Schizosaccharomyces pombe: one gene and its partner. The protein of the gene in region 1 interacts with the protein of each later gene in a pairwise test. Each region holds a gene or a part of one and is shown on either strand. Other genes may lie near its edges. The genes, in order: mcm5 and dpb2.

The links.
Region 2: the proteins of mcm5 (region 1) and dpb2 interact in a two-hybrid assay, tested with the Schizosaccharomyces pombe proteins (one study listed by BioGRID).

Annotation. Positions count from the first base shown.
Region 1 is NC_003424.3:2,813,819-2,821,418, forward strand, and holds mcm5 (MCM complex subunit Mcm5), read left to right. Parts: upstream 1-1,842; 5' UTR 1,843-2,123; coding exon 2,124-3,805; intron 3,806-3,846; coding exon 3,847-4,219; exon of another isoform or gene 4,220-4,259; coding exon 4,260-4,367; 3' UTR 4,368-4,437; downstream 4,438-7,600. Other genes in the region: cox6 (cytochrome c oxidase subunit VI), read left to right, coding at 550-698, 1,110-1,383; plasma membrane potassium ion transmembrane transporter Trk1, read right to left, coding at 4,438-6,963.
Region 2 is NC_003423.3:3,656,118-3,661,073, forward strand, and holds dpb2 (DNA polymerase epsilon catalytic subunit B Dpb2), read right to left. Parts: upstream 2,814-4,956; 5' UTR 2,636-2,813; coding exon 1,118-2,635; intron 1,076-1,117; coding exon 965-1,075; intron 925-964; coding exon 769-924; 3' UTR 631-768; downstream 1-630. Other genes in the region: protein vac7, read left to right, coding at 1-258; mpe1 (RBBP6 family ubiquitin-protein ligase E3), read right to left, coding at 4,056-4,956. UniProt on the Schizosaccharomyces pombe protein: As accessory component of the DNA polymerase epsilon (DNA polymerase II) participates in chromosomal DNA replication.

The DNA of each region.
Region 1 (7,600 bases):
GACATAACTATTTAAATGAATATCTATCAGCAAAATGTCTTCCGCTAAATATAAAACAGATGAGAATTTTCATTCTACAGCATAGTAAAAGTCATATTTCTCTAATTAATGAAACAGCTGTCTTGTATAAACACTCCAGTTTAATTGAGCTTGCTTGAAAATTCCATGTCGAACTAATACTCTACATAACAAGTAAATACTTTAAAACTAAGAAAATCATTTCATAGCAGTAGACCTTTAGAAGCTACAATAACATGGAATGCCCTTAGTCTGTGAGCCGTAAATCTTCATTTAAACACGGCTCTCAATAATCGATCTGTACAGATTACTCACAACCAAGTGCAAAACATATTTATATAAAATTACAGTCATTAGGTTTTCTTCATCCTACTTCTAATATAACTGAATAGCTTTTTTCTTGAATACATAGTCTATACTAGAAAACTGTTTGCTTCTTGATATATTACAAACCTTAGCGTACTACTACTTCCATCTACTCTCCACTCCCCTTCACTTTTATTTAGCAAGAAGCAATTCTAATTCATTATAATGAAAGCAGTTCAACGTATTTTTCAAACTGGCCGCTTTTCTGTCGCCGCAGGACCCTCGGTTCGTTTTCAAGCTGGGTTTTTAGCTGCAAACAGACAAGTTCGTTTTTCTAGTAACCACGGGGTTTCCTTGGAAGAAATAAACACAAAGTATGTAAAAAAACGACGATAAGGGAATAGGTAATTGTTCGGCATGTTGCAATGCCTGAAAAGTAACTCCATTCAGCACTTTTATTATCAAATGCGGAAATAGGAATGCTGGGAACTGCAAAGAATAAAATGAACACGAAAGCAGTCTGTTTTATCATTGACTTTTGAGTACCCAATACTGAAAGTGGTTTGAATATTTTCATTTTAGCATCTCTAGAATGATAGTAAATGAGCGTTCATAGCTATTTATTTGTCTGCTATTTTTTGTTCTTTTCTCAGTTTTCACGTTTTTAGTTTTTACACAAGAAAAATTGACCATTTTTCCTTCTTTGGAAGCTTATTCTTACTTCTGCTCTGCTCTGCTTTTCCTTTATTTAAAATTTCTTGTTTTACTGTTTACTAACTACGTAGGTATAACGATTTCTTTTCAAATGTTCAGGATCAATTTGAGCTCCAAAGAGGCCTAAATAATTGTTTTGCCTACGATATCGTGCCTTCTTCTGATGTTATTGAACAAGCTTTACGTGCTGCTCGTCGTGTTAACGATTTCCCTACCGCCGTAAGGATTTTCGAAGGTATTAAAGTGAAACTACCAACCAAAGAACAGTACCAAGCGTATGTTAAGGAGCTTAAGCCTGTTTGCAATGAATTAGGTATTGTATTGAAGGAGGATCTTTTTAAGTAAGTCCGATTAAGTTTCTTGATCTGTCTCCTCTTCTTTTGAAATTTGTAGCTCTTTACCACAACTCTCCTTTTCTTGGTGCTTAACTATGATTTGCGTTTTTCAAAGGACTTTAAAAAAACTGATTTACTGATTTTGATTATCATCACTTTTTTTCTGTCCGCACGCAATGATGTTTCTTTAGGATTAAGAAATTATCAAATAAAAATGCCAATACCATTTCTCATACAAACAGAATTGCTATAGTAATCTTATCTCTTTTTCTTTTTTAAGTCTAGTATAGCAGTGAATCTGTAACGATATACATCTTCATTTTGTTCACGTAGAAAATAGCTTGCAGTTAATACATGTTTACTTAAAATGTTAAAAAAAAAATTGTAAGCAGACTATCTCCTTTTAACAAAAGATTTAAGGGTGTAGTTGAAGTTCGTTTCAGCAAGGGCAATATGTATTAGTCCTTTCACCAAACACCACAGAGGTTGTTCAATAATATATTTTACAGCATTACATTCGTTTCTTCACGCGTAAAATATTTATTGCAGTTACATGTAATTTAAGAACATATTTATATCATTTTTGCAACTCATTCTGTAAAGGTTTTGAAGAGCTTTTCTAATTTTTGTTTTATTTTTTCGAAGAGCAGCGAAATTTGCTTCATCCTTTATTTTATACCATATCATCTTTTTTATCTCGCTTTTTTATTTTTTTTTAACTCATTCCCCTTAGTCTTTTTCATCACAATAATGGCTGCAGCAACAGGTTGGGAACGGAGTGCTGTATATTATACCCCAGTTCTCCCAGGAGAGCAAGAATTAGATTCCAATGTTAGTCATGAGAAGAATTTCATACAGTTTATTGAAGAATTTGTGATTGACAATGACTTTATCTATCGTACTCAACTAAGAGACAATCTCGTGGTAAAACAATACATGTTGAACATAGATCTTAGGCACCTGATCAGTTATAACGAAGATCTAGCTCATTTGCTTCTGAGTCAGCCGACAGATATTCTACCTCTGTTTGAGTCTGCTGTCACTACAGTTGCTAAACGCCTACTTTATAGAAGTCAAGAAAATGCTTCTACGAATATCCCCACTTGCCAGGTAACTCTACGTTACGATGCTAACATCCTTCCAATCCGTAACCTGACAGCTTCTCATATCTCAAAACTGGTTAGAGTGCCTGGTATCATCATCGGTGCTTCAACACTTTCCTGCCGTGCAACTGCTTTGCACTTAGTATGCAGAAATTGTAGGGCTACCAGGATTTTACAGATTTCTGGTGGATTTTCAGGTGTTCAGCTTCCTAGAGTTTGTGAAGCTCCTGTTCTCGATGGTGAAAAAAAAGACTGCCCGATGGATCCTTTCATTATTGATCATTCAAAATCGACTTTTATCGATCAGCAGGTGCTTAAACTACAGGAAGCTCCTGATATGGTTCCTGTCGGTGAGTTGCCTCGTCATATATTATTGAATGCTGATCGCTATTTAACTAACCAAATTACTCCGGGAACCCGCTGCGTTATTACTGGCATTTTTTCTATTTTTCAAAATAAGTCTGTTAAAGCTAGTGGTGCCGTGGCCATTCGGAACCCTTATATCAGAGTCGTGGGTATTCAAATGGATTCAAATGATGGCTCTAAATCTACTCCTTTATTTAGTGAAGAGGAAGAAGAGGAGTTCCTTGAAATTTCTCGTACTCCGAATTTGTACGATATTATATCCAACAGCATATCTCCCGCTATTTATGGTAATGTAGACATCAAGAAAGCTATTGCATGCCTACTTTTTTCAGGTTCTAAAAAAATTCTCCCCGATGGTATGCGCCTTCGTGGTGACATTAATGTTTTACTTCTTGGTGATCCTGGTACTGCGAAATCTCAATTTTTGAAATTCGTTGAGCGACTGGCCCCCATCGCTGTTTATACTTCCGGTAAAGGTTCAAGTGCTGCTGGTTTGACTGCTTCTATTCAAAGAGACTCAGTTACCAGAGAATTTTACCTTGAAGGTGGCGCAATGGTTCTTGCTGATGGTGGCATTGTCTGTATTGATGAATTTGATAAAATGAGGGATGAAGATCGTGTTGCTATTCACGAAGCAATGGAGCAACAAACTATTTCAATAGCTAAAGCCGGTATCACTACTATATTGAATTCTAGGACATCCGTTTTAGCTGCTGCTAATCCAATTTTTGGCCGATACGATGATATGAAGACACCAGGTGAAAACATTGATTTTCAATCTACGATTCTTTCAAGATTCGACATGATATTTATTGTTAAGGATGAACATGATGAAACAAAGGATCGAAATATTGCCCGTCACGTTATTAATCTTCATACCAATTTACAAGAATCTAGTGAGACTTTAGCAATTGGAGAAATTCCTTTTGATAAGTTTCGGCGGTACATAAACTATTGTAGACAGTAAGTATACCAAATTTAATATTAGTTACTAATGGATTTAGCAAATGTGCACCTAATCTTGATGCAGAGGCAGCTGAAAAGCTATCTAGTCAATTTGTCGCAATTCGAAAACGTGTTCATCAGTCAGAGCAGGACAGTAACTCGCGTTCTACCATTCCAATCACTGTTCGTCAATTAGAGGCAATCATACGAATTACTGAATCCCTTGCAAAAATGTCATTATCACCTATTGCTTCTGAAGCTCACGCTACTGAAGCGATTCGACTGTTTTTGACCAGTACACTTGCTGCTGCTACACAAAGTTCGCCTGAAGTTACTGAGGAAGTAAAAAAAATTGAAGCCAGCTTAAGAAAAAGGTTACCTATAGGGTTTCAGGCGAGTTACCGTATGCTTATACGAGAATACGTAAATGGGGTATGTTTATTGATTAAATCTAAGTCTAACATAATTTTAGCATGGATATTCACAACACGCGTTAGAAATGGCTTTACAAATTCTTTCGTCGAAGGAAACAATTCAACTCAGAAATGGCGGACAAACGGTGTATCGATCAGGAGTATGAAATTTAGCGAGCGTACTATTTATTAGATGATATAATTTACAAATATAATACATGATCGTGATAAGAAATATCAGTCTCGAGAAACTGCAATACTGCCACGTGCGTTGTCTATGGAAAATCCGTGACGACGTTGATAATCTTCTTCTTCTTTCAGATTATTTTTTTCAGAAGGAAGAAGGATGGCTCGATCAACAGCCCTGGGTAAACCTCTATGTCTACCGCGCAGTTCAAGTGCTATAATAACTAGTTTACTTATAGTAGTAAATCTTGCTGAAAGTGAACAATTTGAGGAGCTTAATCCAGTACTAAGTCCCACCGTACCGTAAGCAGAGACTACTTCAAAAAGGACAGTAAAAATACTGAAATCGGTATCTAGAGGATTGGAGATTTTACCTCCTTCACAAATGCATATGATGAATAGCCCTAGAAAAATATACCATAAATCGTAACTTAATTGTTCAGTAAGGTGATCTTTTAAGAAAGATTTCCCCTCATCATCTTCAGTTCTGTAAACACCCAAAGATCGCTCCTCATAAACATTGGTATTTCTCATGTTGATAGCAACTGGATAAACAGAAATATACATCATAACCATGTAACTGACCAGTACTGCTGGGTGAAGTTCACTAATTGATACACTCGTGAATCCTGCGGTTCTTGTACAAACTGATTGAAATATTGCATTTACAACCCTAATACCTTTAGGAAGGCTAGCGACTGCTTTACTTCCAGTATCTAAGACCATGAACAATACCAGATCAATGACATTAAGCAGCAGCAAAACAAAAAACAAGACCCAGGTTGCTCCAGATGGAAACAATAAAGTGAAACATCGTCGAGGATGATCAAGGAGAAATGCCATAGCTTCTTTCTTCTCAAAACTAAAAGGGTATAGCTTATACGTTGTCCAAATGAATGTTCTAAAAAAACAAGGGAATCCCGTGTTACCTGCGATAATGAATAAAGATGAAATCAACAAAAGAAAAATGTTTCGATTCATTGGCACAAAAGACGATGGTATTAAAGAAAACCCCAAATCATTAAATGAAGAAGCAGACGAGAATAACGCCCACCACCCACGACGTAAGTCATAAGAATCTATTACCTCTCGCGATCCCACTGCCGTATAAGCAAAAACAATGAAGGTCACAAAGGCAGCAATATTAAAAATGATAAAATAAAGGGTAACCATGGAGCAGACGCATTTCAAAGCTCTATATTCAATTCCACCCAGCTCGTCCCGCTGTTCTTTAGACAAAGCAACGAAAGCAGAATTACGATCGACAGTAGGATTATACGACAAATAGGGAAGTGACATAGTAGTGTGTCTTGATGAAATAGAAGGCTCACGTTTTTTAGCAAAGGCAGAAGAAAGGACTCGTTCAAGAGTCAAGTTTCGTCGGTTAGAAGTGAATGACTTTGTCCAACGTATTGGACGATGAAGTCCTCGCGAAAATCTGGAACGTAAAGATTTTTTATAAAAACGACTTTTTTTTCTAAGTTTAAGATTACGTTCACGCTCTATGGTGGGCTTATTAAGTCCGGTGAAAGCAATATGCATGTCAACTGTCGATGGTTCAGTGTCTTTAGATAGGGAGGAAGAAGACAGAGACGACCTTACTATTCCGTCTATTGTATTGGCAGGCCTTAAACCACCTTCTGGGAAAAGATTGTCGTCCCCAGTGAGAGTAAATGAATCCCTCGATACAACCAAATTAGTATCAGAATAACTATAAGCCATAGGGAGAGATTCCTGAACTAAGGCGCCTTCAGATAAAGTTTCACGGGTGTCGTCAGCCTCTAAAGGATTAACGGAGGAAATAAAAGAGCTTTGTCTACGAAGTCGGGGATGAAGGTCATCCATTTCATACATTTGCATCGAGGCTGAATGCGAACTACCAAAATCGTAATTTTTATTTTCAATGGAAGGTTCATAGTCATGAAAAGTCATGTTGTGACTTTCCAAATCCATGTCTAGCGTATCAGACTTTTTTGGGAGATACTTTCCAAAATACTCGTCTTTAGATATATCTGCCTTGGGAGAAGGGGGGTTGTCAGGAAAGTACGGATTGTTCGTACTGTCATGCGTGTCAAATCTCGAGAAGTTTTTTAGAGACGTTGGACTCCTTAGTGAATGTAGGTATGGTAACATTACACGAATTTTTCTACCACGAACACCCTGTTCTTCGTCATCCTCGCTTTTTTTCATTAAGCTTTTACGGAGCTTTCTCTGAAATTTTCGAGTACGATTTTGACGAACAACGTCTTTAAATTTTCGTCGAAACCAATACAGCCGGATGAAGGAAATACTTCCGTGCATCCATATAGGAACCGTAATAGCAGTAAATCCATACAGGATAAACTGCTGCCAGATAGATAAAGAATTTAAGTCAACACTGTTAAGGCCTGTTTGGGTAGTTGCGCTGCTAGCTAAGAATAAAGCATCGATATACTTGATTTTCGTGGTGGTCCCTCCGGTAAAAAGTAGGATAGAGGCAATGATAGTTAAGGATATAATGTAAATATAATGAATTGCCAAGAATCCAAAAGTTGGTATCACCCACTTGAACCATCTTTGAATGTAATTTAGGACCATTTATTTTAGTCAATACTTCCAGCCAAACCCACCAACAACAGAACAAGAAACAGAGAAATTGGTTTGAAGTTAACGGAAATCCTTAACTATGGACAAGATAAGAAGCAATTAGTTTTGAAATCTACGGGTAAAAGCGATACTGATGAGGAAACCACTAAATTTCTAAAAGGGAATTATGACAAATGACAAACGACATTTTTACCCAATCTTTGACGATTCCTTTCAACAATACTTGAGGATTCCTCTCTTATAATACAACGTAAAATCGCGTCTTCTTTCCCGTAGAAGGTAGTTTCTAAGCGGTTCAAAGTTTCAGCCTATACTTCGACCATGTTGTACGCTTTGGGCAGTGAAGTGAGATTGTTGACGATCTTTAACATAAATCGTTGTTGTTCCGTAAAAAATGTTAACAAGATTTAGAGTGTTCAAGTACTTTTTACAGGTACCGTATTTAAATTAAGGAAAGTCCAAAAGTTCGCATAACAACGCATAATATGAATTGATGTAGCCTAACAAAATGCACTATCTATGAATTTTACGAACTAGCAAAATTTCTAGCTTTGAACAGTTTATCTTCCGTAAACATTTGAAAACCAGGCGAAAAGCAGGCATTTTAAAGCTTTTCGCTCCTTGCTTG
Region 2 (4,956 bases), on another chromosome or scaffold:
ACTGCTAGAGGTTTGGCAACATCGCCTTTGCAAATCAATCCTACAACCTCAAAGTCACCGTTACTTAACAAAAAATTATCCTCCACTTCTCAGGAGCCCTTTCGAACAAGTAGAAGGTCTGGTCAGGAAAGTGGTGATGTTACTACGAAAATGCTTAGAAACTTGCTCCATAAAAGATTATGGATTTCATTTTTCTTTGCTTGTTTTGTTGTGCTATCTCTGGTATATTTTCATTATGCAGTCCAACCGTTGTTATAAGAAGTGAGATACAACTTATACGGCTCTTTGATTATGAAGTCAGGCCTTGTAAAGCGTTTGCTAACCTTTTGTTATTATGCCCTTTTGAATTATGTTAATGCCTTATCGTTTATGTGCTCCTTTTGGAAAAATTAACTGTTGTTCTGTATTTTGATGCTGTGTACTCGGTCAACTCTTTTAAAGGCTAATAGCACCTATTGATTGCCTCCATGGAAGTTGTTGTACGCAGCAGTGATATTGAATTTTACAAATGTTGTTTTCTAGTAGGGAGTTTTCTATATTTTTTTAATTATTCCTACTAACCCTTAATCTTAATTTTATAGTTTAATTTGATTAATGTTTACTAATTTACGAGAAATCTTACTTGGATTTATCTTTTAATTAACATAAACGTTCTATTATTCGGGGCTCAGTAAAATGTAACAAACTTAAAAATCGTTAACATGTTAATGAATGAAATGCCTTTTTTAAGCAATTATTATACAGTTACATGAGGAAAAGATTTGAGTCCTAAATTCTCTCCTTGTGTGTAATTATTTCTTTTTTTACTGGAAATACTTCTTGCCAATTATAGTGAACGCCAAGTAAAAGAGCACCGGGATTAAAAGTTGGGCAACCTCCATAATGAACATCAAACGCCGACGACTCAGAATCTATTAGACCCATCTAAAAATATTAGCAAAGAAAAAAAAGATTTATAACGTACACAGCTAGGAAGCGGGAAAACTGATAAAGCATAATCAAAATCCCACAATATTGGTCGTGTTCTCGATGGAAACGGTGAAAGGTGAGACTGATCTAAAACTGTTTTAACCAACTAAACAAATTAGCATAAAAAAATTATAAGAAACTTGCTTACTTTTCTTTGCTGATGCACTTGTTGTTCTGCAAGGGGTATAGAATTAATATTGGAGGTACCTTGGGGAGTCTTCCCAAACTTTAATGAATTCCTTTGAAATCTTCCTGATATATCGTCTCTATAAATTAGTACTTCCTGAGAAAAGAAAATGATGCGGCAAGGGTTTGAAGCGAAAATGGTATGCTTACAAACGCGTTGGATCCGATTTACGAAATGAAGGGGTATTGAATGCTTAGGCATTAAGGATATCCCATTTGTCGTCCAAGGGTCGTTTGGACCGGGGACAAATATGAATTTTGTCTTTTCGCAAATTTTTGGAAACTTCTCAAGAGAAGCTGCAAGCTTATTAAATCCTTCTTTATATTGAATTGAGCTTCCTGAATTATGGAAAGCGGAAGACATAAAACTTCCACATAATATTATACAAAACGGCACAGCTTCAGAGGATTCATATTTTTGGAATATTTTTTCTAATGCATAGAAAGTTTGATGGTTGTCAAGATGAACCTCGCTGATACAAACAAAAGCTTGTGACTGATATGCCTGTTCCGCGTGACGGAGAAGAGCAAGTTGCTTTGCATCCATATTCAACCCCAAAATATCTAAATTATTAAGGGCCTTCAAGGAAGCATCACGGCGTTCAATGGGAGGATGACCAAGCTCAAAAACTAAAAATAGCCCAGAACTTAGAAATTGACCATTAACAAGTACCAAGCAGCCAGGGCAAAAGAGACCGAACCCTTGTTCTGCCTGTGATACGTCTAGTTGAACTTGACTGTCAAGATCTTCCAGCCATAAGGTACCATCGGGAGCTATAGTCAAGAGTCCGAACAACAAAAATGTGTTTCCAGCTCGACCTAATAAATTGCGAATAGGAGTTAATTGATATGTACCTGTTTGAGAGAAAGAGCCACTGAAAGAAGGTGTTTGAAAAGATTCATTGCGTAAAATACGGCTATATACAACATTGAATCTGCGGTTAAGCATATCTGTGCAGGCACTTGCAGATGCCATTAAAGTAGGAGACTGTTTTGATAAAACGAAAACCTTTCTTGATGAATCGTACTTAAATTTAGGCATTTTAAAAGCATCAAGGACTCTAAAGTATTTCTCATTTTTTATAGTTTCACGGATTTCCGAATTACTCGAATTTAAAAATGAACCGGTTGTCTCAAGCGTTTGAACTCTTGCTAAGGAAGATACGCGAACTTCATGCGGAACATTTAAATTTGCCAAGACAGGGATCAAAAGAGGTCGAGTAACTATAGGTTGAGTTTCATGAACTCGTTTCCAAGTTTTTGCAATTTCGTCTAGTAAGGGCTCACATTGGGAACGCCATTGTGAGCCGCATTTTTTAGATACGAAAGATGCTAATTCCTGCAGTGAGTCACGATTAATATTGAGATCGTACTTCCTGGTAAATACGTGGAAAGCAACCGGACGAAGGGCATTGGGTTGAACTTCAAAACTAACCTGTTCAGGTTTTTTTTCTACCGAATCCGTAATGGAATTGTTCATTCTATTTTAAGAAATATATTAATGCAAACCCTTCGCTTTTTGATTTTATAGAATCGTTTAGTGCCCACTCACTGTATCAAGGACAGATCAATGTATATGGTTTTCTAATCAACATAGGATGTAATCAATAATTTTTTGGATTCAAGTGAAAAAGTTTCAAAGGACTACTGTAGATGATAGCTATGGTGTACCCTTTATTCACTGTTTGTCTAATATCAAAATGCTAAATGCTAACTTCTCAATCTGGTTCATTAAAATATTTTAACGCACTACTATAAAATCATAAACTGTGTCAGCTACGCAGTTTAATATCCATATTAACGATACGCTGAATTGCGGTGAGGTTTTCTTGCGATCTATTAAATTGCGATATAAAGGTAATATAAGTAGCAACTAAGTATAGATATTATACTATCCAACTTATAGCGTTACTATCACTAACATAGCTTATAACTGAACTGACGAACGAAGTTTATCAGTAACTCTATTAATAGTATTTAAATGATATAGGTCTTAATAGACTATCATTAAAATCAATTTCAATATCGTATCATACGTGGTACGATGAATAATTAGGACACATGATATATAGTGATTCTCTACGTACTGTATCATAGCGTACTATAGTATGTCTAACAAAATGTTGAGTATAATTAATTCCTTTACGAAAGCTGAAATTATGTGTTAATAAATAAAGTAAAACTTAGGTAAACTAAGCTGTTTTATATAATAGGAACATTTCGAGAAGCCTATAAATAGATTATCTGAATACGTGTTGTTAGCATTGAAAATACATTTAAATTTCGCTTAGCTAAATATTTTGATTTTATAATATTCTCTGATAAAACATTTGATCGGCGAATTGTAATGTCAATTGATTTAGAAAATTAGCTTATTTTTATAAATATTCTTTTGTAAAATTAAGGAGTACTGAATCCTTGATCCTTCTACTCGGAAACTTTAGTCTAAGAATTGTTTGTTCTCTATTATTATTACTACAAGCTTTTTGAAAAATTTATTGCAATATTGCAAATAAATAAAAAAAAATACATTACTACTGATTTATATAATATGACTTTCTGAGTATTTTTAATTTCTTAGATTACAATTTTTGTTAAGGCACCTGATCAGCGTCAGCAGTAATTTGCTGAGCATCAAATCCGTTAGCAATCCATTTTTTGATGTAAATATGATACTAAATACTTTTAAATCCACTTCGAAGTAATTCAAAAGTCAATAGATATGAATTTACTCTCATATTAAAAAAACGCTCCATAAATTAGATTGTATTAATTGAATGTATTAGTATAAAAATTTTTGAATGAATATGTGTAACTGTCCCTATTATAGCTGAAAAAAGGACTTTCAACAACGTAAACAGTAAACGCAAGTTTACAAGAAAATCAGAAATAAGTAATAACTAATTTGTTTTAGTAGGGGGATTCTTATGTAGCGAGGATGGTGGGGGAACAGACGCATTTGAAGGACGAGAGTTTGTACGAGGTGGATTTCGATTATTATGATATACTTGGCCAGCAATTGCATTCATCATCATAGGCGGCATTTGAGGTAAGCCTGGCATCATAAAAGGGGGAAAAGGAGCCGGAAACCCTTGGACATGAGGCATTGATGGCATATCTGGGATGGCCATAGCTGACTTAAAAGCTGGTTCAGCGGTGGCTTTGGAAAACACAGCAGAAGATCTTGCCGCAAATTTGTTAGGTCCATTTGCATCGTCATCTTCACGCTTGCGCTTTTCAGACATTGGTGTATTGTTATCGTCAGAAGTACCAACCTTATCACTGTTTTTGCTATTAGAACCGAGTACAGATTTGACGACTGCCTCAATTTCCCTCTGTTTTTGGTAATCGGGGTTTAAAGTATCCAACAAAACATCTTTTCGATGGCAATTTGGACATTCAAAATCCGAATCTAAAAGAGCCGTTTGAATACACTCTTCACAAAAAAGTTTATCACAACAAGGTGTTCTGCAAGCATTTCTTGCTAATTTCTTACATAATGTACATGCCAAAGAAATGTTCGGAGGCTGCATTTTATACACGTCATTCGCAGTTAAAGCTGCTTTACGAGATTGATATGTTTCCCAAGACGCTACGTCTGGTTGTACTACAACATAATCTCCTTCAGCATTTATCATAATATTAGCAGCGTCGCCTTCAGCAGGCCTTTCAACGTTTTTCAAAAAAGATCGAGGTATTCCGGTAGTTCGTTTTACCCTTGGTTTTCCATCGTAATTAGGATCAGCGTTGGTAGGGCATGCTTGAATCCAGTGTCCTTTCTGACCGCATCTATAACAAATA